Linked DNA regions of Sus scrofa. The protein of the gene in region 7 purifies or fractionates together with the protein of the main gene of each other region. This does not show direct contact. Links are inferred from orthologs where the notes say so. Each region holds a gene or a part of one and is shown on either strand. Other genes may lie near its edges.

What was found.
Region 1: the proteins of PRPF19 (region 7) and KNSTRN purify together in Homo sapiens (affinity purification with mass spectrometry; 4 studies listed by BioGRID and IntAct, counting the BioPlex papers as one, with this or other methods). This does not show direct contact. The link is inferred for Sus scrofa from reciprocal best matches to the Homo sapiens genes PRPF19 and KNSTRN.
Region 2: the proteins of PRPF19 (region 7) and SF3B1 purify together in Homo sapiens (co-immunoprecipitation; 4 studies listed by BioGRID and IntAct, with this or other methods). This does not show direct contact. The link is inferred for Sus scrofa from reciprocal best matches to the Homo sapiens genes PRPF19 and SF3B1.
Region 3: the proteins of PRPF19 (region 7) and SNRNP70 fractionate together in Homo sapiens (co-fractionation; 3 studies listed by BioGRID, with this or other methods). This does not show direct contact. The link is inferred for Sus scrofa from reciprocal best matches to the Homo sapiens genes PRPF19 and SNRNP70.
Region 4: the proteins of PRPF19 (region 7) and BCAS2 purify together in Homo sapiens (co-immunoprecipitation; 10 studies listed by BioGRID and IntAct, counting the BioPlex papers as one, with this or other methods). This does not show direct contact. The link is inferred for Sus scrofa from reciprocal best matches to the Homo sapiens genes PRPF19 and BCAS2.
Region 5: the proteins of PRPF19 (region 7) and SNRPA1 fractionate together in Homo sapiens (co-fractionation; 3 studies listed by BioGRID). This does not show direct contact. The link is inferred for Sus scrofa from reciprocal best matches to the Homo sapiens genes PRPF19 and SNRPA1.
Region 6: the proteins of PRPF19 (region 7) and CWC15 purify together in Homo sapiens (co-immunoprecipitation; 4 studies listed by BioGRID and IntAct, with this or other methods). This does not show direct contact. The link is inferred for Sus scrofa from reciprocal best matches to the Homo sapiens genes PRPF19 and CWC15.

Annotation. Positions count from the first base shown.
Region 1 is NC_010443.5:130,927,294-130,931,751, forward strand, and holds the start of KNSTRN (small kinetochore-associated protein), read right to left. Parts: upstream 2,880-4,458; 5' UTR 2,525-2,879; coding exon 2,316-2,524; intron 2,153-2,315; coding exon 2,058-2,152; intron 1-2,057. UniProt on the Homo sapiens protein: Essential component of the mitotic spindle required for faithful chromosome segregation and progression into anaphase.
Region 2 is NC_010457.5:101,335,094-101,339,289, forward strand, and holds the start of SF3B1 (splicing factor 3B subunit 1), read right to left. Parts: upstream 2,926-4,196; 5' UTR 2,624-2,925; intron 1-2,623. Other genes in the region: COQ10B (coenzyme Q-binding protein COQ10 homolog B, mitochondrial), read left to right, coding at 3,096-3,217. UniProt on the Homo sapiens protein: Component of the 17S U2 SnRNP complex of the spliceosome, a large ribonucleoprotein complex that removes introns from transcribed pre-mRNAs.
Region 3 is NC_010448.4:54,298,192-54,301,564, reverse strand, and holds part of SNRNP70 (U1 small nuclear ribonucleoprotein 70 kDa), read right to left. Parts: intron 1,597-3,373; coding exon 1,491-1,596; intron 1-1,490. UniProt on the Homo sapiens protein: Component of the spliceosomal U1 snRNP, which is essential for recognition of the pre-mRNA 5' splice-site and the subsequent assembly of the spliceosome. SNRNP70 binds to the loop I region of U1-snRNA.
Region 4 is NC_010446.5:105,991,263-105,995,472, reverse strand, and holds the start of BCAS2 (pre-mRNA-splicing factor SPF27), read right to left. Parts: upstream 2,916-4,210; 5' UTR 2,823-2,915; coding exon 2,730-2,822; intron 2,621-2,729; coding exon 2,528-2,620; intron 1-2,527. UniProt on the Homo sapiens protein: Required for pre-mRNA splicing as component of the activated spliceosome. Component of the PRP19-CDC5L complex that forms an integral part of the spliceosome and is required for activating pre-mRNA splicing.
Region 5 is NC_010443.5:145,706,049-145,710,250, reverse strand, and holds the start of SNRPA1 (U2 small nuclear ribonucleoprotein A'), read right to left. Parts: upstream 2,859-4,202; 5' UTR 2,781-2,858; coding exon 2,699-2,780; intron 1,203-2,698; coding exon 1,055-1,202; intron 88-1,054; coding exon 9-87; intron 1-8. UniProt on the Homo sapiens protein: Involved in pre-mRNA splicing as component of the spliceosome. Associated with sn-RNP U2, where it contributes to the binding of stem loop IV of U2 snRNA.
Region 6 is NC_010451.4:27,040,742-27,044,405, forward strand, and holds part of CWC15 (spliceosome-associated protein CWC15 homolog), read right to left. Parts: intron 3,424-3,664; coding exon 3,335-3,423; intron 1,951-3,334; coding exon 1,837-1,950; intron 1-1,836. UniProt on the Homo sapiens protein: Involved in pre-mRNA splicing as component of the spliceosome. Component of the PRP19-CDC5L complex that forms an integral part of the spliceosome and is required for activating pre-mRNA splicing.
Region 7 is NC_010444.4:10,850,416-10,854,604, reverse strand, and holds the start of PRPF19 (pre-mRNA-processing factor 19), read right to left. Parts: upstream 2,827-4,189; 5' UTR 2,811-2,826; coding exon 2,792-2,810; intron 1,120-2,791; coding exon 970-1,119; intron 813-969; coding exon 736-812; intron 10-735; coding exon 1-9. UniProt on the Homo sapiens protein: Ubiquitin-protein ligase which is a core component of several complexes mainly involved pre-mRNA splicing and DNA repair. Required for pre-mRNA splicing as component of the spliceosome.

The DNA.
Region 1 (4,458 bases), on a different chromosome or scaffold from region 7:
ATTCGGCATTGCTGTGAACCGTGGTGTAGGTCGCAGACGAGGCTTTGATCCTGCGTTGCCGTGGCTCTGGAGTAGGCTGGCGGCTACAGCGCTGATTTGATTCGACTCCTAGCCTGGGAACCTCCATATACTGAGGGAGCAGCCCCAGAAATGGCAAAAAGACAAAAAAAAAAAAAAAAGGAATTCTATTGCAGAGTTCCCTTGTGGCACAGCAGGTTAAGGATCCAGCACTGCCACTGTAGCAGCTTGAGTCGCTGCTGTGATGAGGGTTCAATCCCCACCCAGGAACTTACACATGCCTCAGGCACAGCCAAAAAATAAAAATAAAAAATAAATTCAAAAAATAAAAGAAGGAGGAGTTCCCGTTGTGGCTCAGAGGGTTATGAACCCAAGTAGTACCCATGAGAATGCAGGTTCAATCCCTGGCCGCGCTCAGTGGGTTAAGAATCCGGTGTTGCCACAAGCTGCAGCACAGGCTGGCAGCTACAGCTCCAATTTGAACCCTAGCCCGGGAACTTCCATATGCCCAGGGTGTAGCCCTAAATGGGAAAAAAAAAAAAAAAAAAAAGAGAGACGCTAAAGAAGGAACTAATTGGCTATGTCAAGGGAAGACTTGTTTTTTGCTATCATTTCCTAATTTCGGAATTTTTTTTTGTTTTTACATGTGCATATATTACCGATTCAAAAGCTAAAAACCAGCCAACTCATGCCTAAAATCAAAATTAAAAAACCTGGGAGGCAGCCTAAAAATGCTAAACTATTGAGGCTACACAGGATCACAAAGCTGGGACAAGGAGAGAAATCAAAGAGATGAAAACTTCCAATTTGGCTGGGGAGAGCCAGTCATGCCCCACTGAATGGGAGACACTGTTCCCTTAAGGGAAAGGCAGCATAAAAGCAGATCCAGTTTCCCCCAGCAACACCTAAGCCCTGCTGACACCAGGTGCAAAGAGAACACTTTGGCCTTTTTTTTTTTTTCTTTTTTAGGGCTGCACCCGCAGAATATGGAAGTTGCCAGGCTAGCGGTCTAATCCGAGCTACAGCTGCCAGCCTGTGCCATAGCCACAGAAACGCAGGCTTGGGGGCATATCTGCCACCTATACCACAGCTCATGGCAACGGCAGATCCTTAATTCATTCATTGATTGAGGCCTGGGATTGAACCTGCAACCTCATGGTTCCTAGTCTGATTTGTTTCCACTGCGCCATGACAGGAACTCCCACAGCACTTTAGGCTTTTGGAGAAAAGCCTATTACTTCACAGGTCAATCCTGCTAGTGCTCATCAATCAACTGCGTGGAGTCACTGGGAAGGGATCTTAACCAGCTGCTTCAAAATCTCCCACCAAAGGTGCTGATGTTTGAAGCCTGTTCTGGGCTACAATCTCTAGATTAGGCAGCTCCACACCTGCAGGCTCTAGGCGATGACTTGCAACCACAAACCAAAGAACACAAAGCCTGATGGCAAAGCAATCAAACATTGCTTTTAACCATGTCTCTTCTTCCAAGGTTCCCAAATACTAGCTAGGCCTGTCCCTTCTCTCTCACTTCACCCAAAAAAATGTTTATTATGTTCTATGTGAGACACACTGTACAGTTACAAATGTGAACCAGATACCATGTGAACCGACTGCTTCTCCCTAATAAGTATCCTGTCTTTCAAATGACTCTCTTTTCCCCTCAGTCACAACAAACCCAGTACCTCCAGATACCCCAAGTCTGGAAATAAAACTGGCAAATGTTTAAAAAGGGATTCCTAGCTTAATGGGATAACACTATAAAATAATCATCAACTTAAATCTAATTGGTGAATGCTCAGCTTGGGGGAATCCGGATATAGGGCGAATCTACAAAGTCCCACCATCTGGCTCTTTCCCTAACTCCCATAAGTCTAGACAGTCCGGTTCTAAGGGAGTTAGTGGGCTCTCAGAGCCGACAGAATGCCCTTCCCTGCCGACACCCTCCATTCTCAGCTGCCAATTTGATTCCTCGTACTCCCTGGCCTGACCACCCCAGGCAGCGCCCTGGGGGCGGGGGTGGGGACGGCATAGGCACCCACCTGCGGCCAGACAGCTGCTCAGCACAGAAGTGGGCTGCAGGGTGTACACTGTCTTAACCACGCTGGTCATCGTAACGAGGCAGCACGACTGGGGCCTGGAAGGCACAAGCTGAATGTTACCCAGGGCTGGCCCAGGGAACCCAAGCTGACGGAGGGCCCCAGGAGAGCACGACGTGGAATAGAGAAAATTCTTCAATTCCCAGTCCATCCCATGGGCCTCCTACACCCAGCCAGTCTCCAGACCCAGGAGAGCCGAACCTAGGCGCCTGCTGCTCCTGCCCGCAGGCCTCGTCACTCGAGTTCAAAAGATGCCGGGCAGCAACTGCCGTAGCGCCGACAGAGTCCGCCGCCTCGGTTTCAAATGGAAACTTCCGGTGGCCTGGCGGGAGGGGGTGCGGTGAGCTCCCTGTAGGCAGCCATGTTGTACGGAAGCCACTACTATGGGTGACGCCTTTGGGGGCTGCCATGCTGTACGGAAGGTCCAGAGTGGAGGGGCGAGCTTGAGCTTCCTGGCGATGGGTGTGAGAGCCCCCAGGTCTGGGCGGGGGAGGGGAGTGGTGCACTTCGCCGACTTGAATGGAGCTATGAACCTACCAGCGTCATATTCTGGCCTTGGGACGCAAACGCAGTCACCTTTAGAGTTCATGTCACAATCCTTTTCTTTATTTGGTCTGTGATTGTCAGGGGTGTTGCATGATGCTCAATTGCCAGGAGCATAGAGGTGGGTGGGCCGAAAACTACACCTTACGGGGTGGAGAATGGTAGAGTTAAGAAACCAACTAGTATTCATGACGATGCGGGTTCCATCCCTGGCCCGGCTTAGTGGGTAAAGATCTGGAGTTGCCCTGAGCTGCAGTGTAGGTGGCAGACGTGGCCCGGATCCCACGTGGCTGTGGCGGGCAGCTGCACCTCCCATTCGACCCCTAACCACAGGTGCGGCCCTAAAAAGACAAAAAAAAAAAAAAAAAAAAAAAAAGTCTAACCTCCTGGACTCTGCCCTCTAGGAAACAGCAAATAATCTCATAAACTAGTCAATGTGTCTCAATTCAGCTGTAAAAAAAAGTTTATATTTACCAACTGTAGTAAAACTATGAGGGAAGAGGGAAAAGCAAGGAAACCTAGTTTATTTTAATTTATTTATATTGGCAGCACGTGCAGCATGCGGACCAGGATGGAATGTACCCCAGAACAATGAGCAGTAACAACTCTGGATCTTTAACCCATTGCACTACCAGGGAACTCCAAGGAAACCTAGTTTGTTTGTTTGTTTATTGCTTTTTAGGGCCGCACCCACTGCATATGGAAGTTCCCAGTCTAGGAGTTAAATTGCAGCTACAGCTGCCCGCCTATGCCACAGCCACAGCAATGTTGAACTGTTTCTGCAACTTATACCACAGCTCATGGCAATGCCAGATCCCCAACCCACTGAGTGAGGCCAGGGACTAAACCCTTGTCTTCATGGTTACTAGTCAGGTTTGTTCCTGCTGAGCCACTATGGGAACTCTCAAAACCTAGTTTAAATTGTAGTTCAAGGAAGACATCAGAGGTGATGTTTGACTAACAAAGGATGAGGAGGAGTTAATCAGGTGAACAATGGGGGAAGAGGAGAGAAATGTGAAATCTCAAGGTAGGAATGGGCTTTTCCTAGAGGGACGAAAAAAGATGGGAGAAGAATGTCACCGTCAAAGCTGGAGAGATAAGCAGTCAAATGACAGTCAAATGGTCTATCTTTGTAGACCAAAGATAACCAGGTTGTAGTTCAAATATAAAGAGATTTTTTTCCTTAAGAGTAATTAGAAGTCTTTGAAGTATTAGAGCAGGAGGGTGCCATTCAATTTATATTTTAAAAAGTTCACTGTGACTACTACTCCATGGAGAATGGACTGAAGGAGAGCAAGAGTGAAATTAGAGAGAGTTGGGAGGCTACTGTAATTAATCAAGTGAGAGATGATGGTGGTTTGGCTGAGATGATAGTGGTGGTGGAGATGGAGAGAGGCAGACGCACTTAAGACAGCTTTTGGAAGCAGAATCTCAGGACTCAGTATTAGACTGGATATGGGGGAAGGAGGGGTAAGGAAGAGGGATAGTTTAAGGATGACTCCCAGGCTTGAATAATTGTGTGGATAGAGTCATTATTTTGTGTTTGGGGGGGTGGGGGCTGAAAATTCAGCTTTGAACATGGTAAATCTGAAATGCCTTTGAGACATTCCAGTGGAGCTGTCAAGCGGGCAGCTGGAAATACAGGCTTTGAGCCCAGAGGAGAGTCTGGGTTGGAGATATACTATTGTGAATTATGAGTATTTGTATGTATTTAAAACTATAATATTGGATGAAATCACCAAGGGCAGAAGTACAGAGAGCCTTAGGACCAAGGACAGGAATGGCAGTACTTAGAAACTGC
Region 2 (4,196 bases), on a different chromosome or scaffold from region 7:
GCGTTGCCGTGAGCTGTGGTGTAGGTCGCAGATGCAGCTTGGATCCCGCATTGCTGGGGCTCTGGCATAGGCTGGCAGCTACAGCTCTGATTAGACCCCTAGCCTGGGAACCTCCATATGCTGCGGGAAGCAGCCCTAGAAAAGGCAAAAAGACAGAAAAAAAAAAAGAAGGTGCCAGAAATGAGATTATGTTAATTTTGAAAGCTTCCTTTATTTCAGGGAAAAAAACATAAATGATGTTTAAAGGTCTTATTCTGTCATTAAAATTCATCCTCAATCTGGTTTTGGTTCTTTGTTTTGTTTTTTGGCCACTCTGCTGGCATTTGGAGTTCCCGGGCCAGGGATCAGATCTGAGCAGCAGTTGTGACTGTATAGCTATGGCAATGCCAGATCCTTTAACCCACTGTGCTAGGCCAGACATCCTAAGTCCTGGTGTTGCAGAAATGCCACCAATCCCATTTCACAGCGGGAACTCCTCCATATTTGTTTTCACTGGAAGGTTGATTAAAAACTGTAACACAAAGTCATAGCCATCTCTATTTACCTGAAGCCTTTCTGGTTCTGTTCAATCTATATGCAGGATTCTGAAGTAAGCAAAAGGTCAAAAAAAGTATAATTCTAATGGACATTAATAATGAAAATCTCACTTGGAACAATCACATGAAAGGCAGAAAGTAAATGTATGTGTATGCTTACATCCACAAAAATTAGATATAACACTACCATAAACTCCCAATTACCCACACCCATTTCAATAATTATCAACAAATGATCAATTTTGTTTCATACACTCTATTCCTCCACCCCCACTAGATTATTTAAAAGCAAATCACAAACCTCATTTGTACCCGTAAAATCTTCAGTATCGATTTTTATTAAAGTAGATATTTTAGCTGAATTTCTCAGTTTTGTATATGCCTTTTTTTTTTTTTTTTTTTTTTTTTTTTTTAGGGCATATGGAAGTTCCCAAGCTGGGGGTCAAATCAGAGCTTCAGCTGCTGGCCTATGCCACAACCACAGCAACTTGGGATCTGAGCTGTGTCTGCAACCTACACCACAGTTCATGGTAACACCAGAACCTCAACCCACTGATTGAGGCCAGGGATTGAACATGCATCCTCATGGATACTAGTCAGATTTGTTTCTGCTGCACCACAACTGGAACTCACTGCATGTCTTTTTATATATAGTTTGTTCAAAACAAAACCCAAATAATGCCTCTTAAATCTTGGAAAGTTCAGCAGTCTCCTCACCCCCAGTTCTCCTTTACTTGACATTTGTTGATGAAATTAGGTCATTTGTCCCACAGAATTTTCCATATTCTGTATTTGGCAGGTTGTATCCTCTTGGTACCATTTAATATGTTCTATTCCTTGTTTAAACTGGTGTAACATAAAAGCTTGACCAGATTCAGATTCAATTATTTTGTCAAGAATACTTAATAGGTGGTGTTGTATCAAATATATTTTTGGCAGCATAACTGGTTTGGACTCTAACATACTGCTTCCCACAGGTCTCTGCTGAGTTTCAATTTACTACCAATCTTCTCCTATTGTAGAGACAGATTTTTAGCCCCCATTTGTGGAAGCACTGTCATCTACTAAAACTCAACCAGAGTTTATTATCACCTTTAAGTTTATATTATTCTTTCCTTTGCTGAGAAGTCAAATGAGTACTCTACACTGTCATCTATTACAAAAATTCCTTTATTTGCCTTATAAGTTTTAATTGGTAAACTATTCAATTGGGTGACTCAATTCAATAGATATTTTCTTGTGTCTGGGAAGAGTTCAGTGAGAAAATTTTGGATTTAACAAAAGAAGGCCTTGGCGTTCCCGTTGTGGCTCTGCGGTAATGAATCCGACTAGTATCCATGAAGATATGAGTTTGATTCTGGCCCTGCTCAGTGGGTTGCTGTAGCTGTGGCGGAGGCCAACAGCTGCAGCTCTGATTCAACCTCGAGCCTGGAAATTTCCATATTCCTAAAAAGTCCAAAAAAAAAAAAGCCTTATATTAAGTACACAAGTACATCATGTCTTGCACTGAAAATGTTAACAGGCCTTCTAGTTAACAATACCAGTAGTTTGCAATAGGAGTCAGTAGGATGTCCTAGTGCAATGCCTGTATTTTGTAGACAACTGGTAACCACTGGGGTATTGAGTGGGGGAGTAATACGGTTAAGATGTGTTTTAATGTAAATCAACTATACTTCAATAAAACTTTTTAAAACGTGTTTTAAAGCAATATGTTTGAGGCAATATTTAAAGTTCAAGACAAGAAGAGCAGGGACTGGGTATTCGAAAGTAATCTGATATTGGATTATTTCGATGCAGCTCAGAACCACCTCAATGGACAAGAACCTCCTGTGTTGTACTGGAAAATGCTTAATATGCTTTCTAGCAACGGATTTCAACTGCACAAAGCATTATCACATACGAACACCAATTAAAATGTTGCCTACACAGGCAGAAAGCAAACGCCCCCGAGTCTCTTTCCTAACGACATGGCCTTACACTGCCCTCACACCAACCTCACTGGGTAAGCACGGCAGGTACTGTATTAGACAATCATTAACAACAAGACTGACGGCCAGCAGGGATGGCAGGTCCGACCCAGCACTCACCGGTTTGGATAGTTACATAACTAACACCTAGAATTTCGGGCTTCCTCCCGCCCCCGGGCTGCGCTCATGTGGCGAGCCTCACGACCGGAAACAGCACCCAAGAGAACCGCGGCGGTTGACGAATCCGGGGAAGAGTTCCAGCGCGGGAAGGGGGGTGAGCGGTCACCGTGGACCTTACGTAAGGCGCCCAAGCGCGCGGCAGGAACTAGAGAGTGGCCGGCGGAAAGAGGTGGGTACCGATGGCCCTACGCCCCCTCTGATTGGCAGGAAGGATGACGAGCGCGTTTACAGGACGCCCTGCGGCAGTGGGAATGTGCGTCAGCTCTGCGCAATCTGGGAGGGAGAAGGGGCGTGTCTGGCGGCTCAGGGGGCCCGCCGATTGGCTGGAAGGCGCCGGCGCCGGGAAGGTCGGGCCCCGGGAAGGAGGGCGGTGCCGTCTGCCTGGTCCCAGAGGCGCACCGGCTTCGGTAAGATGTTTGTGGCAGCTCGGACAGGCCAGAGAACCTTGAGAAAGGTGGTCTCGGGATGCCGTCCAAAATCGGCGACAGCGACCGGAGTCCCGGCTCCTGCGCAGGGGCCTCCGCGGAACATCAGGTAATGAACAATGGGTTCGCCGCATTGGGGGTAGTTTTCCGCCCAGCCTTGCCGAGCAAAGGGACCGGGGTCATTTGGGGTGAAATAGGCGAGCCCGATGAGTTTCCCGGTCTCTGGAGAGAAAGGGTAGGTCTGCTGCCTTTGGGGCCGCGCGCATTCCCCGCCCGCCCCCCCGCGTTGGGCTGAGGCTCGCTGGCCTGTTCCGGATGCCCCGTCTGTTTGTAGTTCGTTGCCCTCGCGAGAGGCGGTGAATCATCCGCCTAGCGACTTTAGAAGCAGCTGATAAAGCAGCTCCGCGGAGGTGCCTTTGGGCTCTTCCGGGCCTACTTATGCTGCTCTCGGAAAGTTAACTGCAGCGCCAGAGTTGCGAGTTGATGGGTTTGTGGGAGTTTGTTGCCTGGCGGTGAGCGTGCCCAATGGCCAGACTTGCTTTCTCAGTTTCTTGTTAACAGTTTTTGCCCCCGGCCTTTGGTGCTTGCTAAACTCAATTGAAGCCGAAATAGGGGACTTGTGGATTTTGTTTTCCGTGCTGTTGGAGCTTAGCGATCCTGTAACACCTTGAGCCAGAATCTGCCTTCACTTTTCCTGGTTGTTGGGTTTTTTTTGTTAGGTGATGGAGGTGGAGACATGAAGGATTCCATACTTAGACCGCGTAGTTTCCATTTATTAATGACATTTTAATACATTATGCTCGAAAATTAAAATTAACGTTTAACATGAATTCCAGTTGTAAACTGTACAGGGTGGAGAGAGAAGGCACAAATTTGGATTCGCTCCAGAACTTTTAGATTCAATAAATTTTTTAAATACCAACAAGCCAAATTAGTAGCTTATTTTATTTCTACTGTTCTGCTTCATTTAGCAGAGTAACTATTACTAATTTTTATTGGTATACTACCACTTTAAAGCAAAGTGTATGAGTTTACTCAGAAAATGTTGTTAGTATTATTACTACCTTTAAAATTCACTGAACATATTT
Region 3 (3,373 bases), on a different chromosome or scaffold from region 7:
GCGGTCTACTCAGCACACAGGTCGAAAGCGAGAACAGTGGCCTGGGAGGACAAAGGACGGACCATAAGGGACCCTCCTGGGACGTCCACCCAGGAAGATGGTTTTCTCTGACAACAGCTTCTCCCGCTCACAGGAGCTCGTCCTCAACAGCCATGTCTGGATGGCAGGACCTCAGCCCAATGTTGAGCCATTTTGATTCACCCACCTGGAAACACAGACTCACCCAGGGCTGGGTGCAAAGCAGGCACTTGTTTTTTTGGTTGTTTTTTTTGTTTGTTTGTTTTTTGGGGCCAAACCTGCAGCATATGAAGTTCCCAGGCCAGGGGTTGTAATAGAGCTGCAGCTGCCGGCCTCCACCACAGCCACAGCAACGCCAGATCAGAGCTGTGTCTGTGACCTACACCACAGCTTACAGAAATGCTGGATCCCCAACCCACTGAGTGAGGCCAGGGATCCAACCTGTGTCCTCATGGATACCAGTGGTGTTCGTTAGTGCCCAGCCACAACAGGAACTCCGAAGCAGGGAGTTTGAAACAGCACACTGGACCAGTGTAGGTACCAAAGAGTCTGGTTTACAGAAAGAGTGAACAGCGTGGAAGCAAGCTGCCACAGGTGGTTCCTGACAGTTAAGGTCTGGCCACGAGGCCGTCAGAGGACGGTCACAGGCATCACATGCCTCTAGGCTCCAAAAGACACTAAGATTCTCTATCAACAAAGCCCCTTTATACCTTAGGAAGCACAAATGTCTTTTTTGGGGGAGGACGTGACTATGGCACATGCAAGTTCCAGAGCCAGGGACTGAACCTGTGGCACAGCAGTGACACCACCAGAGCCTTAACCCATTGTGCCACAAGAGAACGCCCAAGGAAGCACAAATTTCTCATACGTGTTATCCAATTGATCTTGACTGAGACGGTGACCGATAATTAGAGACAGACAGTGAGGGAACTGGACGGAGAAGGCTTTGAGGACAGAGACGCCATCTGTGTATGTCCTGCTCTTGACTAGGAGCCTGGTACACAGCTGGTGACCAAAGAGGCGTTTGCTAAACCAGTGAATGAATGATCGAACAACAGAGAGGAGGAAAGCATAAACAGATGAGAGTGACTCCAAGACCCAACAAATGCCACGTGCCCAGCTGGGTATCTGACGGTTGAGCTCAGGGACCTGAGGTTAGCCCCACTTTCCAGGACGAGGGAAAAGGAGGGATGAAGAGTGGAAATCCACCAGCCACGAAGCTCGAAAGCCAGAATTCGATCCTAACTGGCTTCTTTCTCTAGGTCAGTCCTCCTGCTCCTACTGGGTAACCCAGAACAAGCAGACAGACCAGAAGAATGACGCTGAGAACAAAGGACGAGCCGGCGCGAGGAAGAAAGGATGGGCGCAGCCAGGAGAGAAAGAGAGGACAGAGCGCGGCAGGAGGTGCAGAAAAGAGCTAAGAAAGGAGCCCCCAAGGGCAGGACCCCAAGCCCAGCCTCAGCAGGACGTGCTCACCTAGCCGCCGGGGCCGCCAGCCCTTCACAGTTCGGCCCCTCTCCACGTCCACGAGGACTCTCCTGCCGTCAATCTTCTTGCCGTCTGCGTGCTTGTAAGCGGCTGCAACAGACGCGGGGAGGGGGAGGGGAGGAGTCCCCAGAGGGTCCTCTAGTCAGGCTGAGGCCCAGCCCTGCGGCATCCCCGCCCCCCGGGTCCCCATCAACACACTCGCACACGTGCACACACACCACACACACACCCCCACACCCACCAGACAGCCAGGCAACTGCCAGCCAGACCCATCCCTTCCCAAACAAGGAGGGGACTGCTCCATCGGCAGCTGCTCATCACCCCCAGTCGCCACTGGGGGGCAGACCACGCCCCCCCCCCCCCGCCCCCCGGCTCCCAGGCCGTCCCAAGTCCCCACTCCCATTCGACAGAGCAGCCCCCCCTGCCAAGGTGGCCAAAGTCGCTGCAAAGAAACCAGAGGTTAACTTAAGGCTGGACTCTGCTGCGGGGGAGGGCTCCCCCACAACCCCAGGCATGCACCCTAAAACATCATGCTGGGGGAGCAGGCCCAACTGGGCCCCTCTGCACCCCAGTTCACAACGGTTTCCTTTTTCTGTGGGTTTTTTTTTTTTTTTCCGGGGAGGGTGAGTGTGGGGGGAACAGACATCAGAACAGAAAATGAACCAGAGGGGGAGGGAGATCTTTAGGAGATGGAGGAAGGGAGCAGAAAGGCGGGCTATGGGGCTCCCAGGGGGCCTGGAGGGGCCCCTACAGCAGGTGGGGCTGAGGGGCAGTGGAGGGAGATGTGGGAGACGTGTGGTGCTACTGCAAATGTCCTGCCTTACCTGAAAGGCCTGCGCCCAGCCCCGGCCCCATCCCATTGCTCCCGCAACACCTCCAGCGCAACGGGCCCTGGGAGGCCGGCCCCAGCCTGAGCCTCCCGGGAGGCGGAGGAGCAGAGGGGAGCTGTGGGCAGAGGCCCCCTCCCTGGCCTATCTCTTGGGGGGCGGTTGGGAAGGCCAGAAGAGTCCCTGTTGCCCACCCCCGGCCCTGGCTAGGGGGCTGTCCTCAACCAACCACAATACCCTGCCCCGCCCCAGCCCTCGCCCCCCCAAATAACAACCAGAGGAAGAGAAAAAGGTGCCATTTACCGATGCCGGCCTTGCGGGTGTCCAAACCGAGCGGGATGGGGGGGGCTCGGCAACTCCTGGGGGCCTGGCGAGGAGGCGGGCTTCCCGGGGGGGGGGGGACACGGGACCGCTTACCTGGAGCCCCCAAGCTTACCTGAGCACGCGCACAGACCCCACACCCACCACCACGAGGTCAGCTAAAGCTACAGGGAAGGGGAACCGGGGCCTCTAGGGAGCCACGGGAAGGAGAGGGGCCACACCTCCTGCACCACCTGGAGACAGGCAGAGGAAGTGGCGGACCCCAAAGAGACCTCGTGGAGGCCTTGAAAGGGGGACACGAGGACTCACGCCAAGCTTGGGAGCTGTAAAGCCAAAGGCCTATCTTGTTGGAATTTAAAAAGAAGGCCAGGGAGGCCTTACGAACCTGTGCACCTTCCCTTTCTCCCAGCAAAGTCCGAGCTACACTAGGCACACGCCCCCGCCCGGCACACGGAAGGCCTCTTCCGCCTCGAGCTCCGCACTCCCTCCCACCACCTGCTTCAGCCCAAAGGCTGGCCTGCAGCAGACAGCCCTGGGGGTCCAGGAGACGGAGCGCTGTCCGCGATCCGAGGAGGGGCCGCGCGGCCCCTGCGCCCAGAGGAGGGGAGCAGGGGAAGGCGTTTAGGGACTGGGAACCCAGTCAAGCAAAGGAGCCCTGCTCTTGGTTCGGAGTCCCAAACCCCAGACGAGGCCCAACCCGGGAGTAACAGTAAAGAAAA
Region 4 (4,210 bases), on a different chromosome or scaffold from region 7:
GGAGAGAGAGTTCCCATTGTGGCTCAGCAGTAATGAACCTGAGTAGTATCCATGAGGATGCTGGTAGATCCCTGGCCTTGCTCAGTGGGTTAAGGATCCAGTGTTGCCGTAAGCTGTGGTGTAGGTCGCAGATGTAGCTTGGATCTCGCATTGCTGTGGCTGTGGTGTAGGCCGGCAGCTGTAGCTCTGATTCGACCCCTAGCCTGGGAACTTCCATATGCTGTGGGTGCAGGACCTAAAAAGAAAAAAAAGAATGGAGACTAGAAGAAGGGACAAAAGGAACTGGTTCTGCTGTTTGCTCCAACAATTTTACTATTAAAAAAAAAATGTGGTATAGCTCTACCTCTTCAGGCCAATGTTTTGGTCAACATTCTATTCCGTTTAGACTAAAGAGTAAGCTAAAAAGGACTTCCAGAAGCCCACATTCCTTGTTTAAAAGTTCTGCATTAAGTATGTCTTGTTGGAGAAAGCCTTTTTTTTTTTTTTTTTTTTTTTTTTTTTGGAATACTGCTGAGCTGCACACACCTCTAAGAAAATGTGGTTATTTTGTTTCCTGCAGACACTAAGGCATTCTAGCTAGAAGGCTATGCACAGTGACAGATAAAGAGTAAACACTACTAATGAGGTGAGAGAAACTACAAAAATACAGCACACACAACCTTGAGCCACGTAACATAGAAGCCCTTACCTAACTCACATGGCCAATAAGTGAGAGATCTGGAATTTTAACTCAACTCTCTCCAAAGACTGAGCCAACACTCACAGGGCTGTCATATAAGAAGTCCAGGCATGAATGGCACATGGTAAGCATTCGTTAAATCAGAATGCCTTAGGAGCTCTTCATACATTCAACTGACAAATATTTGGGTGCCTATTGTGTGCCAGACACTGTCCTAAGGGATGAAAATACAGTGAAGAAGACAAAAAGGATCCCTGCTCATGGAGTATCATCTCAGATTACATAGGCCTTCCTCAACCATCCTATCTAAAGTAGTCACCCAGTCACTCTGTATCACATCATTACTTTAATTCTCCATGTAGCTTTACCAATAATCTAATAATTTCTGATCCGTCTCTACACTCTAGAATGTAAACTCCTGTTCCCCAATAACTTAAAAAGAATGTCAGAAATAGTTGTTAAATGAATTAATGAAAGAGCAGCTTCAAAGGCAGTTTGAAGATCATGGGGAAGTTAGTAAGCTGCACTTTTCCTATCCAAAAAACTGGTATAAAAAACATACAGTTTACAATTCACAGGACTGCTTTTAGGACTGAGATAGTGAGCTCAGTACACTATTAGCTCCTACTATTAAGAATCACTATACTAATTATAAAGATAGAAGTATAGGTTCTACTCAAGAGACCAAAAAAGAAAACCTGTTCAAGTGTTTAAAAGTTTGTGATTGAATGAAGTTATCTGAAATTTTCAGAAATCAGGCTAATAAGGACTTATTATTACTGTACCTAGTTTTTTTTTTGTTTTGTTTTTTTGTCATTTTAGGGCCACAGCCTTGGCATGCTGAAGTTCCCAGGCTAGGGGTTGAATCAGAGCTGTAGCTGCCAGCCTATGCCACAGCAACGCAGACCCAGTGGCCTCTGTGACCTACATCACAGCTTACGGCAACACTGGATCCTTAACCCACAGAGCATGGCCAGGGATCGAACCCAAGCCCTCATGGATACTAGTCAGGTTCGTTAACCACGTGAGCCAGGACAAGAACTCCTGTGCATAGTTCTTAATACTGTAACATCTACATTTGGGTGACATTTAGAAAAAGCATGGGAAAACAGGATGCCATAGGAACATCTCTCTCCTACTTAAAACTTAACCGATATATTTTTTTCATGTTACTTCAATAGAAATACTGCTTTTTATAAGAGATTTCTTTTGTAAATAAATGGTTACCAGATATGGGGAAAAACGGAACATGTATATACTAAAATGCCTAACAGAATCCATTAATTTAGAAATATTTTACATTTCATTTAGCTGATTAGACCCTAAATAGTATTACAGATGCACTTCTAAATATTTAAAGGGTGCATTACTTAGATACGGTTTGTCTCTTCAGTCATTCTCACAGATTCAGAAAATACTTAAACTTTGGTTCAAAGACCGCCCTCCAGTGGTTCTCAGAAGCTTAGGTAACTAGGCTTTTGTGTATTTAAAAAACCCTAGATCACTTGTTTTGCAGTAGACCTTAAAGAGAAAAGGATCCCTTTGAGAATTTACGCAGTGAACCTACCTCGGAAAAACGTTAACATTCGTTTTTGCATTGTTAGATCAGTTCGCGAAGCCCTAGAAAGTCCTTCTGTGGCTCTAAGAATAAGAACCCGGGAGACAGTTTATCCATGCAGCTATTTTCAATTGACTGACACTACCTATACCAATGAGTAAGCTGTGGCTAGGCAAGTAACAGTTAAAGCTGGAATCTGAAATTCACTTTTGTGTGGCTAAGGCTCTCAATCCAAAACAAAGATTCACAGGATCCTGGTTTATAACGTGGACTCAAAATATCACACTCACTTCAAAAGCGGAATAATCTGGGGCTGTCAGGTAGCTCAAGTAGTTCTTGGTAGGTCGGTACCTGCGAGTTTCCTCCTCTACCAACGCCGCGGCCTAAGAAAGAGAACAGAGGCCAAAATAAGAGGAGCACATCGTTAGGTCAGTCTTCCAGCCCGAAGTGTCCGCGAGCGCTGAGTCAGTCACACAGACACCCGGAACTTACCGCTTCCCGCACACCAGGCGCTTCATAACCCTGGTCAAAATACGGCAGCGCGTCTACAACAACCTCTCCAGCCACCAAACCGGTGCCCGCCATTCTTGGGCTCGCCTGACTTCTCTGAGTCTGCGCGGGCTCAGGCTCGCTTAAATAGGCCTGCACCCGATATTAACATAATCACGTTGCCGACGTCCGACACCTACGTAATCACGTCGAACATGTAATCACGTCTATCGTCAGCGCCGACACTGTCCTAAGCACGTCGCTTGCGTAATAGCTTTTGGCGCATGCTCAGTTAATTCCGAGGGCGTGCTAACTAGAAATTGTCCAGCCTTCTTGTTTTGGTCGGACGTGACGTCATGTTGTGTGGCTCCGGAGTCTGCAGGAACGTCTCAATTTCCTGTCCCCACCTGCTGCGCTTTTTTGCCTCCGATTGGCAGCCAAGTGGAAGAGTTGGGACTTTTGGTTTCCTCCGGCTCGCTGATATCTGGGAGGGGAAACCCTTTAATAAAACTTTTGAGGGAGGGGAAACCCTTTAATAAAACTTTTGAGGGAACTCGCTGCAAGATTTAGCGAAGAGAAGGATCCTGGTTTCCCACCTCGGCTTTATTCCCCTAACCTTCCAGTCTTCGGTTAAACTACTCTCCCTTTTCACTTCCTTGCTCTATCTGCACTATTGTTCTCCGTCCCTTGAGAATCTTTGCACCGAATAAGTGGAATAAGTGCAGCTCTCGCAGACTCTAGAAGTGGGCGTTAGACTCCAGTGAAAACTGCGAAGCTTTGGAGTCTGGAGTGTGCCTAACAAAAGGAACCTGATCTTCCCCCGGGGCGAGATTGGTAACTGCCCACTAACCTCATCTTTTAAAAAACTGATTTTTGCCTTCAGGACGTGTATAAAATCCAATCATTTTGCTTTTAGGGCTTCTGGTAACAGGACAATCTTTCTCATTGCATCCTAACACTCGTGATACTGCCAGTACCTATTTCCAGCTCCCTTTGATTAAGCAGGGGAAGACTAAATAAGGTAGGTAGGACTCTATACCGTGTCCGGTGTGCAAATATCGACCCAGACTTTGCCAAGAGCCTGGAAATGTCGGCCACGGTTATTAAGCTTGAACCTAGGATTATCTTTTAACCTACCATTAATTAAGTGTGCTAGCTATATAGATTTAACTGAAGTAAAAAATCTACAACTTAAGCCATTTAAGATTCTCCCAAGAGATCCACGGAATTTTTTGTTTATTAAAAGATCTGTAAACAACATTTTATACAAATCTTGAGCAATTACTTTACAAACATGTCCAGAATTTGTAATACTTTACAAAAGCAAAATAAAAGACTTAAGAAAAGGAAGCAGCTTCAGATTGCAGGGATAAAATAAGACCCCCATCCCTGTAGCAAAGCAAAAGTCTCCTCACAGAGGGATGGCCAGGATCCACCAGTTACACCTTCTATCCCCATTTTATAAACACTCAATTCCCAATTAC
Region 5 (4,202 bases), on a different chromosome or scaffold from region 7:
CAACTTACCAATTCCACAAGACTATTGTTGGTGAGAATGAGTTCTGTCAGACAGGGCAGAGCCTGATCAAGTCCCTCACCTATACGGCTGAAATAAAAACAGAAGGACTCTTAGTAAACATGCAAATTAAGTCAGCTAAAAATTTTATCTGAGCCCTTGCTCAGAGGGCTTCAGAGTGGGAAGAAACTTAAGAGATCTTTCTTCCAAGACCCTGACAGGAAAATAAGGCACAAAAAGAACTGTCTGAGGTCACACAGGTGACAGAAGTAGGATGACTTTAAAACCCACATCTCCTGAAAGATGTCCAGGGCCCTTCCTACTGCCACACTATCTTAACGAAACCAAAGACAAGAAATTCCTGTGTAAAACAGACTACTTAGTTCATCTCAGGACCTGTGTGAAGCCCAAAAACATAAGTGATTCTGCAGTCAGAGCTCAGGCACAAGATAAGCCAGTAAGCAAACCACAGTGGAATAGTTAACTCACGAGAAATAATGGGCATTTAAAAAAAAGCAACTCACTACCCAGCACTTCTATTGTGTGTGTGTGTGTGTGTGTCTGTGTGTCTTTTTAAGGCTGCACCCACAGCATATGGAGGTTCCCAGGCTAGGGGTCAAATGAAAGCCAAAGCTGCCGGCCTACACTACAGCCACAGAAATGCCAGATCCGAGCCACATCTGCTACCTATGCCGCAGCTTATGGCAATGCCAGATTCTAAAACCACCAGGCAAAGCCAGGGATTGAACCCAGATCCTCATGGATACTAGCTGGGTTCTTAACCTGCTGAGCCATAATGGGAACTCCCCAAAGCAGTAGGTTTTTAACTTAAATTAGAAATGTACCATGAATACATAAATAATACAAGATTTCTGAATAGATGCAAGTAAGACCAGACCAATACCAAATTCATCTCTGGATCTGTATGGGAAAAGTGTAGTTCATTTTCCATTTAAGAAATACGTAGGTGTAACTGGCAATACTGCAACTTCTTTATGGAACTCTGCTACATTTACTCTAGGGGAACAAAAATTACTTTCCACTAGTAGACACTTACCATATTCTATTGTTGTTCACTAACAATGTTTTCAGTCTTCTCAGCAAAGGAAAACCATCTAGTTTCCTGATTTCATTGTCAGAAAAATCAATGGCATCAAATTGGTCTAAGGTAGCACCTAGATTTTCAATGACAGGAATTTTGTACCCTGGAGAAAGGAGGGAAAAAACACACAAGGAAACATTAGCAGCATTTCATGGTAATTGGACTCAAAGCTTTCATTCAATCAGAAAGTTGTTTATCTAGCACCTATGCTGTGCCAAACACTGCCAAAGCACTGGTTGATTACAAGGGCAATAAAGATGAGAATACTCGCTAACAGTAATACTAATAGGTAGCTAACATTTCCAAGTATACTTACAAGGTGCCTTGTATTGTTCTAAGCAAGGCCCCAAAGCTAATGAAGTGGCCTAACAGGACTTTACACTGTGAGCTGCCTACTGTCAGTGTCCAAGCCTTGTCCACGTATTGTGGACAGTAATAGCTCCCAACCTTTTTTGCATTTCCACAGGTCAGATTCCCAGAACTCATTTGGATATCTTCGTATCATGACAGTTCCCACTTCTCTCACCTCCCAGAGGCCCAACCCAGAGTTGAAGGTCAATTTGTACACAATGGTAAATCACCTTGTGAACAACTCACTCAAACGCTCACTGATTTGTCTTCTAGGGGCATAATTATTGTCTTAGGTGCTAGGAGAAGAAAAGAAGTTAACCTAGGCAAGGTTAAATAAGTACACATTTCAGAGCTCTAAAGGCTCAAAGTTAAGTGCTGTACCAAAACGAGCATTCTCAACACCGGATGCACTTCAAACTCAGGCAGACATCAGCCTGTGCCAAGAGTATGAAAGCGGTGGGTTACTCTTGAGTCGAACCTATGATATTTAATTTCAACAAAACGAAAGTACTATGTCAGCAAACAAAAAAGCAAGCAGAAAGCAGGGCCCGCAGCAGTGCTGCTCCTGAGACGGTGTTCTCCCCCGTGGGGGTGGATCTCAAGCCAACACTTAACCCCGGAGAAGTCGTCCTTCACACCCTTTCTAAAGCCTCTCCTACTATGCAGACGAGTTGCCACAGGAATCTAATAGTCTGGAGGACTTCCGCCTCCCTTATAGACGCAAGACATCCGGCAGCCCTAGCGTGGCTGAAACAGTCTGCTCTTTGAAAGGTTTTGGCAAAAGGGAAATAGATCCTTGAAGCTAAGGAGGAGGAAAAGCCGGGAAAAAAAATCGCTTTTGCTCCGGACTTCACTTCCTCCGTCCCATACCCAACCTATATTCTCATGACTTCACTTTACCGTATCTCGGTCCGCACGAGGATCACAAACACGGCTCAGCACCCCAACGGCTCAGCCCACCCCGCAGGCGTGTACTTCCCCGCCCCCCAACGGCTCAGGTCACTCGGCAGGCCCGGCACCGGCCCCGCGGTCTGACCCAAGCATCGAGGCGGTCCCGGGCGGTGGGGGCTGGGCTAAGGAGAGCCTCGAAGGAGTCCAGGGTCGGCGTTTCGCCGACGACAGCGGGACTCAGCCGGGGTAGGAACCGGGACGCACGCCCCAGGCCACGTTCCCGCCCTTCGCGCACGCGGCGGGCGCAGGCCGCCGAGCGGGCGGGGAGGCCGGGCCGCCCGCCCCCGCCCGACTCACCTCGCAAGTCCAGCTCGCGGTCCCGCACGGCGTTGGTGTATTGCGCCGCCTGCTCGATCAGCTCCGCCGTCAGCTTCACCATCCTGTCGCCTCCCGCCTGCAGTGTCTCCCGCTCCTCCCGCCGCACCGACGTCCCGGCGTACCCCGCGCCCGCCGCCAGGCAGCATCAATCGCTTCCGGCGTGTGCTAACAGCGCGGCTCCCAGGCCTAATCAATCGAGGAGCCATTTCCTCCGTGATCGGCCCCGCCCCCGGGCTCGGGCACAGCTTTTGGGCTTTAGCTCCCGCGCTCTCCGCGGCGCATCTGGTTCTGAGTTCGTTCCTCTTGTGCAGCTTCGGCCTGCAGTGCCCCCGAGTCCAGATATTTGTGTCCGCAAGTTAATAAAGAGTGAAAGCCCACGAGTGGAACTTTCGCGTGCGTCAGGACACCTAGAGGTGAAAGGGAGGCAGTGACTGCTTTCACTCCGCCCATGGGATTCAGTGATGGGTCCCGGGCTTTGGCATCCGGGTGACACCATGAAGACCAAGCCTGGGTCTTCCGCACTGGTCTAGTTTGCAGTCAGGCCTGCCCTCTCTAGACAATTAGATATTCATGCTGAAGCCTGATAACACAGGAAGTGTGCAGATCTAAAGTCTGCAACATGACAAATGCCCACAGAGTGAGCACATTTGGGTGGCTGCTGCTGGGGTCCTGAAATTCGGAGACTCCTTCATTCCCCAAAGGGAACTACGAATCCGTCACCATAGATTAGTTTTGCTTACTTTTATATAAAGAGAATGATGCAATCTGTTTTTGTATCTGGTTTCTTTGGCTCTGTGTCATGCCTAAAATCCATCCAGGTTGCAGGCAGCAATGATTTGCTTACTTGCTGCTGTATAGAATTCTATTGCGTCTCTTACACCATAACAATCCATTTCGCTGTCGATGGACATTAGGTTTGTTTCCAGCTTGGGGCTAGTCTGCATAATGCTGCTATGAATTTTGTTGTACGTGGATCGCATGCACCTGTGCCTGAACTTTTCCAGGAGTGAAACTAAGGAGACAAAGTGTGTGGTATTATTGATAGGTACTGCCTGATGATAACTTCCAAGAGGCTGGAATCATTTCCACACTGTAGTGGTGTGTAAGGGTTTCCATCACTTGCCAACATTAACCTCATTTGCACTGTCAGTCTTCATAATTTTAGCAATTCTGGTGAGTACCAGTGCACTATTGCTTTCATTTGCTTTTTTCTAATAATAGTTAAGCATATTGTCCATTCTGATATTTTTTTACAAAGTGCCCATTCAAGTCTTTCTCCCATTTTTTTTCTTAGTGGGTTTTCTTTTTTCTTATTCCTTTTAAGATTTCTTTATATATTCTGAGTGTGAGCATACTATATGGCTTGCCTTTTACTCTTTTTTGGGGGGTAGTAGTTTAAACTTCCTAAATACCAAACACCTCACAGGAAGCCAAAATACTGTCCTCGTATACATCATCAAGCTGCAAAACACAAATTTTAGTA
Region 6 (3,664 bases), on a different chromosome or scaffold from region 7:
TCCTGCCGATTTTACATTATTTCCTTTAGAGTTACTGGTTGATTGCCACACACAGCACTGGGGGAAAAAAGGTGCCAACTCTTTCCATATTCAAGTACCAGGTACACTGTTTCCTGACCACAGCCATAAAGGATGGACAGTCTGCCATTTGGTCAAACCCGAACCATCTTGTTTTGTTAATGAAATTTTATTGGAACACAGTCACATTCATTTATTTAGGTACTGCCTACGATTGCTTATACCATAATTAGCAGATGGAAGCTATATGACCTGCAAGCCTGAAATACTTACTATCTGGCCTTTTACAGAAAGTTTCCCAACCCCTGACACAGGTTGACAAGTTTGAGAACATTTTGAAACACCTCAAAAACCAGCCACTAGAAAGCCAGACAGGGAAACAGAGACAAGAAAATTAAAACTGTTATTCAATTCCAAAAAACACCAACTCATCTTTGTACAAAGAAATCAGATGAACCTTGCAAAAGTGCCAAGATCCCCTGTCTGAAATGTTTATGCTCCTTAAAGATCAACAAAACACATTTAAATGACTCTTTGTATATCCACAGCTGTGAAGAAGGCCAGCAGGATTTGGAATAGAGCAACTGCCCTCTTGTGGTGTGCAAGTGGTATTAGGAATGGCCTTACAATTCTACAGGAGTTATGCTATCCAAATTTTGATGATTTTAAATATATTTTTTAATATTTTTAAATATATTTTTAAAATTTACATTTTATTTTTTGTAATTTTTTAAATAGAACCATTCTTGGTTCAAACGAAATCTTCCACAGAAGTCCGTAAAAAAGCTCAAGTGCCTCACACACAATTCTGTTAAATTCAGTGTGTTCCAAACAAACTCATCATATTTCTCTCCTCGGAAACATGCCCATCCTTCTGCATTCCTGAATTAGGGTATGGCACCAACACTGACCCAGAAACTGCCACCTCTAATCAGTTACCTTCTCTGGCCAATTCTTCCTCCTTGACAGCTCTATCAGCATCTGTTTACTTCTCTCAAATCCAACTCGTGTCATGCAAGATTCTCCTAACTGCACCTGAGGATTACTGGAACGGCTTCCTAATCAGTTCTTTCTTCCACTCTCCCCACTGGCAAAGTAATCTTTCTAAAATGCAACCCAACCTTACTGTCTCCTGCTGAAATGGACTAGTTCTGCGAATCATTCCGAACAGAGCTCAAACCTCTTTAGAGCTGCCCTACAAACCTCTGGTGCTCTGACTTGCTCTTGCCATCCAAGTTTTCTCTCTTATTGTTACTGTGATGGTTTGTTCGTCCAAAGTTTAAAGGTACATACCACGGATCTCATTTAATCCTTCTAATTGTCTTTGAGTCAGACATTCTTTCCTTCCATTACGTAAACACAGAGGCTGTGGGGACTCAGAAAAGCTGGGTTATAGAAAATCCACTGATAGGCGGCCTCAGCAAGGTGCCTGGAAAGAGGCCTGGGGCAGACGAGAAGCAGAGAGATAAAGATGGCCTCTTTATACCTGTGGGCTCTCTGTAGGCCACGACTGCATCTTCACGATCTTTGATTCTTCTGACACTTAACAGACACTGACCAAATGTCTGTTGAACAAATAAGTGAATGAAGAGCAATGTGATGAGTTTTATTATTAAAGGGTCTAAACTAGTTAGAATTTCCCATATAAGTGGGAGACTGAGGATGTCACAGAAATTACCAGATTTATAGACCTCCAGGTGCTATAATATCTAGACATAGCAAGGATGAGTTCCAGTATAAGGTGATACCACTTACATTAAAAAACATTCTACTTTAGCTAATGTAAGAAGATATAAATATTTAACACGTTGGTTTTACCTTCCTGGCCTGCTCTTCAGCTCGCTCTTTCTTGATTTTTTCCAGCTCTGCAAGAAGAGCTGCGGTATCATCATCATCACTTTCCTCTTCAAAATCTTCATCTTCATCCTCCTCCTAAAAAAGAATGGTGATGGCCCAGGAGATTAGAGACAAAAGAGACATTATTCTTTTTTTTCCATAAAAATGACACTTATCAAATCTTTGGAGCAGAATTTTCCTAGTTGGAAAAATAAATGTACGTAAATATGATTAGAAGCAGTAACCAACCAAAAAATAAAACACCACAAAAAGCTTATGATTGCTTACTAAAATGTCAATACTCTGACTATTTTAGACATTATAACAGTAAATAGTATAATGAAGTACTTTTCAAATTTACATGGTCAAACAAATATTTACATATGAAAACTTTTTTTTTTCTTTTCTTTTTTTGCTTTTTAGGGCTGCACCATGGCACATGGAACTTACTAGGCTAGGGGTTGAATCAGAGAGCCATGTCTTCAACCTACACTCCAGCTCATGGCAACTCCGGATCCCCAACCCACTGAGCAAGGCCAGCGATCTAACCAGCATCTTCATGGATGCTGGTCAGATTCGTTTCTGCTATGCCACAATGGGAACTCCCTGAAAATATTTCTAAAACCTGAAAAGGAACACTGTATACTGAGGTACACTATATATTGTGATCCTGGGAATTAAAATAATTTTATATAGCTCAGAATAACTAGGAAGTAAGGATAATCAAAAGTACCAAAAGAGGGTACTAAATTCTCAGAGAAAAAAATTTCAGACGAACAATCATTAAATCTCACTTAAAACTGAGTTCTTTATATTTAATTACTGAGTTAATTTTTAATTCAGTCTGTCTGCTCTAGAATTACTTATATATGCTTAATTAGATGCTACCCTAGAAAAGGCACTCAGATTTTTCCTCTGCATGTAGAAAACTGCAAATTAATTATATGCCCTGAGGACCCACTAAATTTTAATGTTAAAGTACCAAAACTTAGAAACCTTCCAGTTAGATCACATACCTCCCTAGGCACAGATCGAGCCACTGAGTGCATGAACATCCGGAAAGGGCATCACTGGTGGCAAGTGTGGAAAGGCCCCCACGTTCACTGTAGGGGATGTTACTGATACAGAGCCCAGTCTGAGGAGTGCCCTCTGGAGGGGTATAACTAGTCCAGTTTCCCCGGTTTAATACAGGGAGCTATTTTTTAGGGAAGCATATCTTTTAATAGATCTCCTCCTTCACTGGTTCTCCAGGGATCGAATTTAAAGTCTGATTAACCGTAAGAGAAGGCTTTTTGTTTTAAAATAAACGCTAAAATTTAGCACTGAAGTCAGGGCTGTAATTGAGCAACAGGAAGTCAAAATAAATACAAATCACTTCTTAAAGCCAGAAGACTAAATACAACAGTATTTAAAAAAAAAAAAAAAAAAAAAAAGATAAGTAAATCACTACACAGAGATGAGAGGAGGGAGTAAAACGTACATCTGTTAGAGGGTCATCTGCGTCGAGGTTGGCGGCAGGAATCTGGTCTAACCGAGGCTTCTTTGACACCGAGGAGGAGGTTGTATGTTCTACGGGAAAACAAACATCATTTAGCTTACTGAATCAAATCCTGCATTTCTTATGATATTTTAGGGGCCTGTGGGCACAAAGAGCTTAAGTCTTAGGCATGAAAGTAAGGATTATAACCACAGTGCCTGGCAAATAAGCCCTTGGCAAATATGTGTTGAATAAATTAATAGAAGTATTGATTTTAATATGGGAACTGTAGCCTTGCTCAGGAAATTCAGAAAATAGTTTGCATTTGCTAGA
Region 7 (4,189 bases):
GACTGCGTCCTGGGGACGAGACACCACAGTGAGGGGTGGGGAGCAGCATGAACGCCTGCATAAGAGTCAGCGCTGGATAAGAGGACGCTGCCTCCTACCTCACGGCCTGGGCCAGGATCAGTGACCCAAGTAGCATCCAAGCAACCTTGAGGGCACGGGCAGACACTCCTGAGCTCCCACCCATGCCCAGACTGGGCACACAGACAGGAGTGGGAGCCAGCTCTTTCCCATCCCATCTGCACTAATCACCGCAATTCTCGGACATCATGCTGTTACCTCCCCAAAGGCAGTGACAACGCCACTTCTGCGATTTAGTGACCGCCCTCGTTGTGTCAGGCATGGCGCCAGACTGCTCAAGACTTATTCATTCTTCATATTGCAAGGCACCTACTATGTGCCAGGCACTGCCCTCGATGATGGGGCTCTAGCAGGAGTCACACGAGTCCCTGACATCAGGAAGTTTATACTCTCTTATCCCAATTCTCCCAAAACCCAGAGAGACAGGCACCAATCCTGTCACATGGTCAAGAAAATCAGGGCTCAGATGTGATACGAGCAACCCCAAGGCAAGTGTGCAAGGGAGCAACATGTGGAACCCAGATCTGTGTGACGTCAACAAGCAGGCTCTCCTCTGCTCCCTCCCTAGCTCGAAACAGAACACAAGGCTCCAGCCCTCCCACCCCGACGCCCAGTCCATCAGGCGGGGAAGATACCGACTCTCTTCCAGGGACTCACCCACTCATCCTGCAAGGCTTTCAGAATGGCTGGGATGCTGGTGGCTGAGGGAGGCTTGGGCCGGATTGGGTGAGCAACTGTCAAGAGAGGGCAAGTGGGTGTGAAAACCCGTGGCCGGCCAGCCTGCCCCTCCCCCATGCTTCCCCTTCAGCCTGCGTTCACAGACCACCACCTCCTCCCCCGCCCCAGGCTCTGAGCTAAGATGGCCCTGGACTGTGGCCAGTCAGCAGGCACCTTTGATGTCAATGAGCTGCTCCTCGGACAGAGGCTGGTTGTTGATGGGATCTGTGCCATTCTCTGCAATATACTTCTCAATGAGCCGGCGCTCGTAGACATGATTAGAGACAGGGGACACGCATGGGTGCTCTGGCACTTCATTGGAGACTGTGGAGAAAAGGCAGGCAGTGAGCCTGGGCTGTGGGAAGGGACCTTGGGCCAAAGGGATGCTTCACCTACTACCAGCCTCCAGAGGCCTACACTCAACCGATGAGAATCAACCAGAACACCAAGAGCCAGTTCTGGTCTGTACCCAGAACGCTTTCCAGCCTTCTAACTAGCTGCTCCATCAGCCTCCTGACAGTCAAATAATCAACAAATAGTTACTACACAACGACTAAATGCTAGGTACCTAGAGAGCAGTCAATAATCTCTGCCCGTCTCATTTCTGAACAAAGATGCTTAGGTACCCATTACACTGCAGAACAGGGAGACACACACAAACCTCACTTAAACCTCAGGCTAAAGCCTAGATGGATTCTCAAAGAGATGTGACAAGTGCTATAATAAGAGAAAGCATTTACGTGGTGTTTACTAGGTGCCAAGCACAGCCTGTAAACACTTCCCATTGCTTAAATCATCCCCACAACAACCCCCAACTGAGGTATCATTTACACCCTTGAGGATAGAGATTATAGCTGGCTTCCGACTTCCAGGACAAGGCAGATGCCCAGCAGGCGCTCAGTAAACATCTAAGAGATGAGCCAAAGAGAGGAAGGATGGAGCTTCCTTAAGGGCTTCCTTAAGATTGAAACAATGAATGTGAAAATACTTGGCACACTATAATTTCTTTAAGGTGTACCTTTCCTTTATCTAGTCACATTTCCCTTCCCCCTTTCTTTCCTTTTTTTTTCTTTTGGATTTATGGAAAGGTTCTGAGAGGAGTAAAGGGCCTGAGAGTTAGGAAGCAAAGAAAGAAAAGGATGAGAGACTAATAACCCAATAACAATGAGTACAAAATATCACAATAAAATACCGAAAGGAAAGACAGGTCAAGGCATTTGAAAAAAGCACAGATTCATGGTCAGGGAGAACCTGACTCCATCACCCAGCTCTACCACTTACTAGCTGTACTGTTTTACAAAAGCCACATTCTGCTTCAGCCTTACATCCTTATCTGTAAAACAGGATCTTTATTTCTGCTCTGGAGAAATGAGAACATAACAAGATCACAGTCTTGCAAACGAGCTGTAAATCAACAGAGGCTTTATAAAAGTGCGCTGTTTTCAGCAGTCCGTAAAGGGTGAGGCTGGAAGCCAGGTCCCTGGCTCCCAGCCCTGTCACAGCCTGTAACTCACTGTCCGACCTTTGCAAATTGCAGAAGCTCTGCCTACCCGAGCAGGGCCTCAGACAACATCCAGTGCCAAGGCCCTCATTTTGCAGATGGGGAAACTGAGGCCCGCATCCTTGCGCCACATCACAAAGCCAATCTGAGGCGGATCCTGCACGAGCCCTCGCATTTCCTAATTTCTACAGCAGAGCTGTTTCCCCTGCACCAGCTCCCTCTATCCAGGCCTCTGTTCAACTGCGCAAACAAGGTGGGTGGCCTCGGCGCTGCCTGCGACAATACACTTGAGGCGTTATGTAAACTGTGAAGCGTTGCGCAAATGCACCCCACGCTTGAGGAGGAGGACCCCCGGGGCTGACAGGCCGCCGCCCTGCCCCCCCGGGAGCCGCGTTTTCACCTCCACCCCCGCCCCGGCGCCGCAGAGGCCCGCAGATCCTCCCACTCGGCTCTGTGGCCTCCTGCGCCCAGCGATCGGCCACAGGCGATACTCACTAGAGCAGATCAGGGACATGTTGCCGTAGCTGCGCTCCGAGGCTCCTCACACCTGGCTTCGGATCAGCTTCTGAGCCCGCGGGGCCCACTTCCGGTTCCCCGCTGCTTCCGGGACGCTCCGCGCAAGCGGGGAGCGACCCCGCTGGACGATGCTCCCGCAACGTTTCACGTGGGACAGCGGCTGGTCGCGCGCCTCAGCCTCCAGCTTTTAACGGAAACTGTCCTTTCCCAGAATGCAACCGGGCAGGAAAGGGCGCGCCAGGAAGTACTCGGCTATTTCCGGGCCCGCTCGGCTCCTTTCGTAAAGCTCTCTTGGGGTTGGGGGAAAGGAGAGCCGAAACTACATTTCCCGTGATGCAGTGGGAGTTTTAATCCAATCAACTCAGTAATTTTTTAAACCAATCAACTCAGAAACTTTAAACCAATCGACTCTTTTGAGACCGGAGCGGGAAGGGGGGGCCTTGGGATCGTAGTCTTGCAAACGCTGTTGCGAGCGAGAATTACCCCGCTTCTCAAAACGCATCTTCCTGGGGTCCGCTGAAGAGAGCGTTTTCCATGGCTGCTCCCACGTGATTCTTGACAAGTGTTTCTCGGAGTACCCTTTGAAAGGTCCAAGGAAGAAGGCGCGGATGCTGATAGGTGAAAAAACTTTTCTGATGGCTGGGTTCTCCGCTAGACTGTAAATTCCATGATGGCAGGAACCACAGTTGTTCTGGTTATTGTTGTTTCTAAGAGGCTGACACAGTACCTGAAATATAGCAGGACTGTCACAACTATTGTTGGTTGAATGCCAGGCATTTTAAGTACTCAGATGTGGTAGGAAATAAAATGGATCCATTTATACATGCACCCCAATGTTCACTGCAGCACTATTCACAATAGCCAAGACTTGGAAACAACCTAAGTGTCTATCAACAGATAAGTGGATTAAGAAGATGTGGTACATATATACAGTGGAATACTACTCAGCCATAATGAAGAACAAAATAATGCCACTTGCTGCAACAGAGATGTAACTAGAGATGATCATACTAAGAAAGAGAAAGACAAATACCACGTAATAACACATGTGGAACCTAAAATATGGCACAAGTGAACCTATATACAAAACAGACCCACGGACAAGAACAGACTGGTAGTTGCCGAGGGAGAAGGATGGACTGGGAGCTTGGATGTAGTAGATGCAAACTACTATATTTAGAATAGTTGGACTGGAGTTCCTGTTGTGGCTCAATGGGTTAAGAACCCAACATGGTGTCCATGAGGATATGGGTCCATGGCCTCCCTCGGTGGGTTAAGGATCCAGTGCAAGCTTCAGTGTAGGTCAAAGGTGTGGCTCAGATCCTGTGTTGCTGTGGTGCAGGCTGGCAGCTGCAGCTCCAATTCAACTCCTAGCCC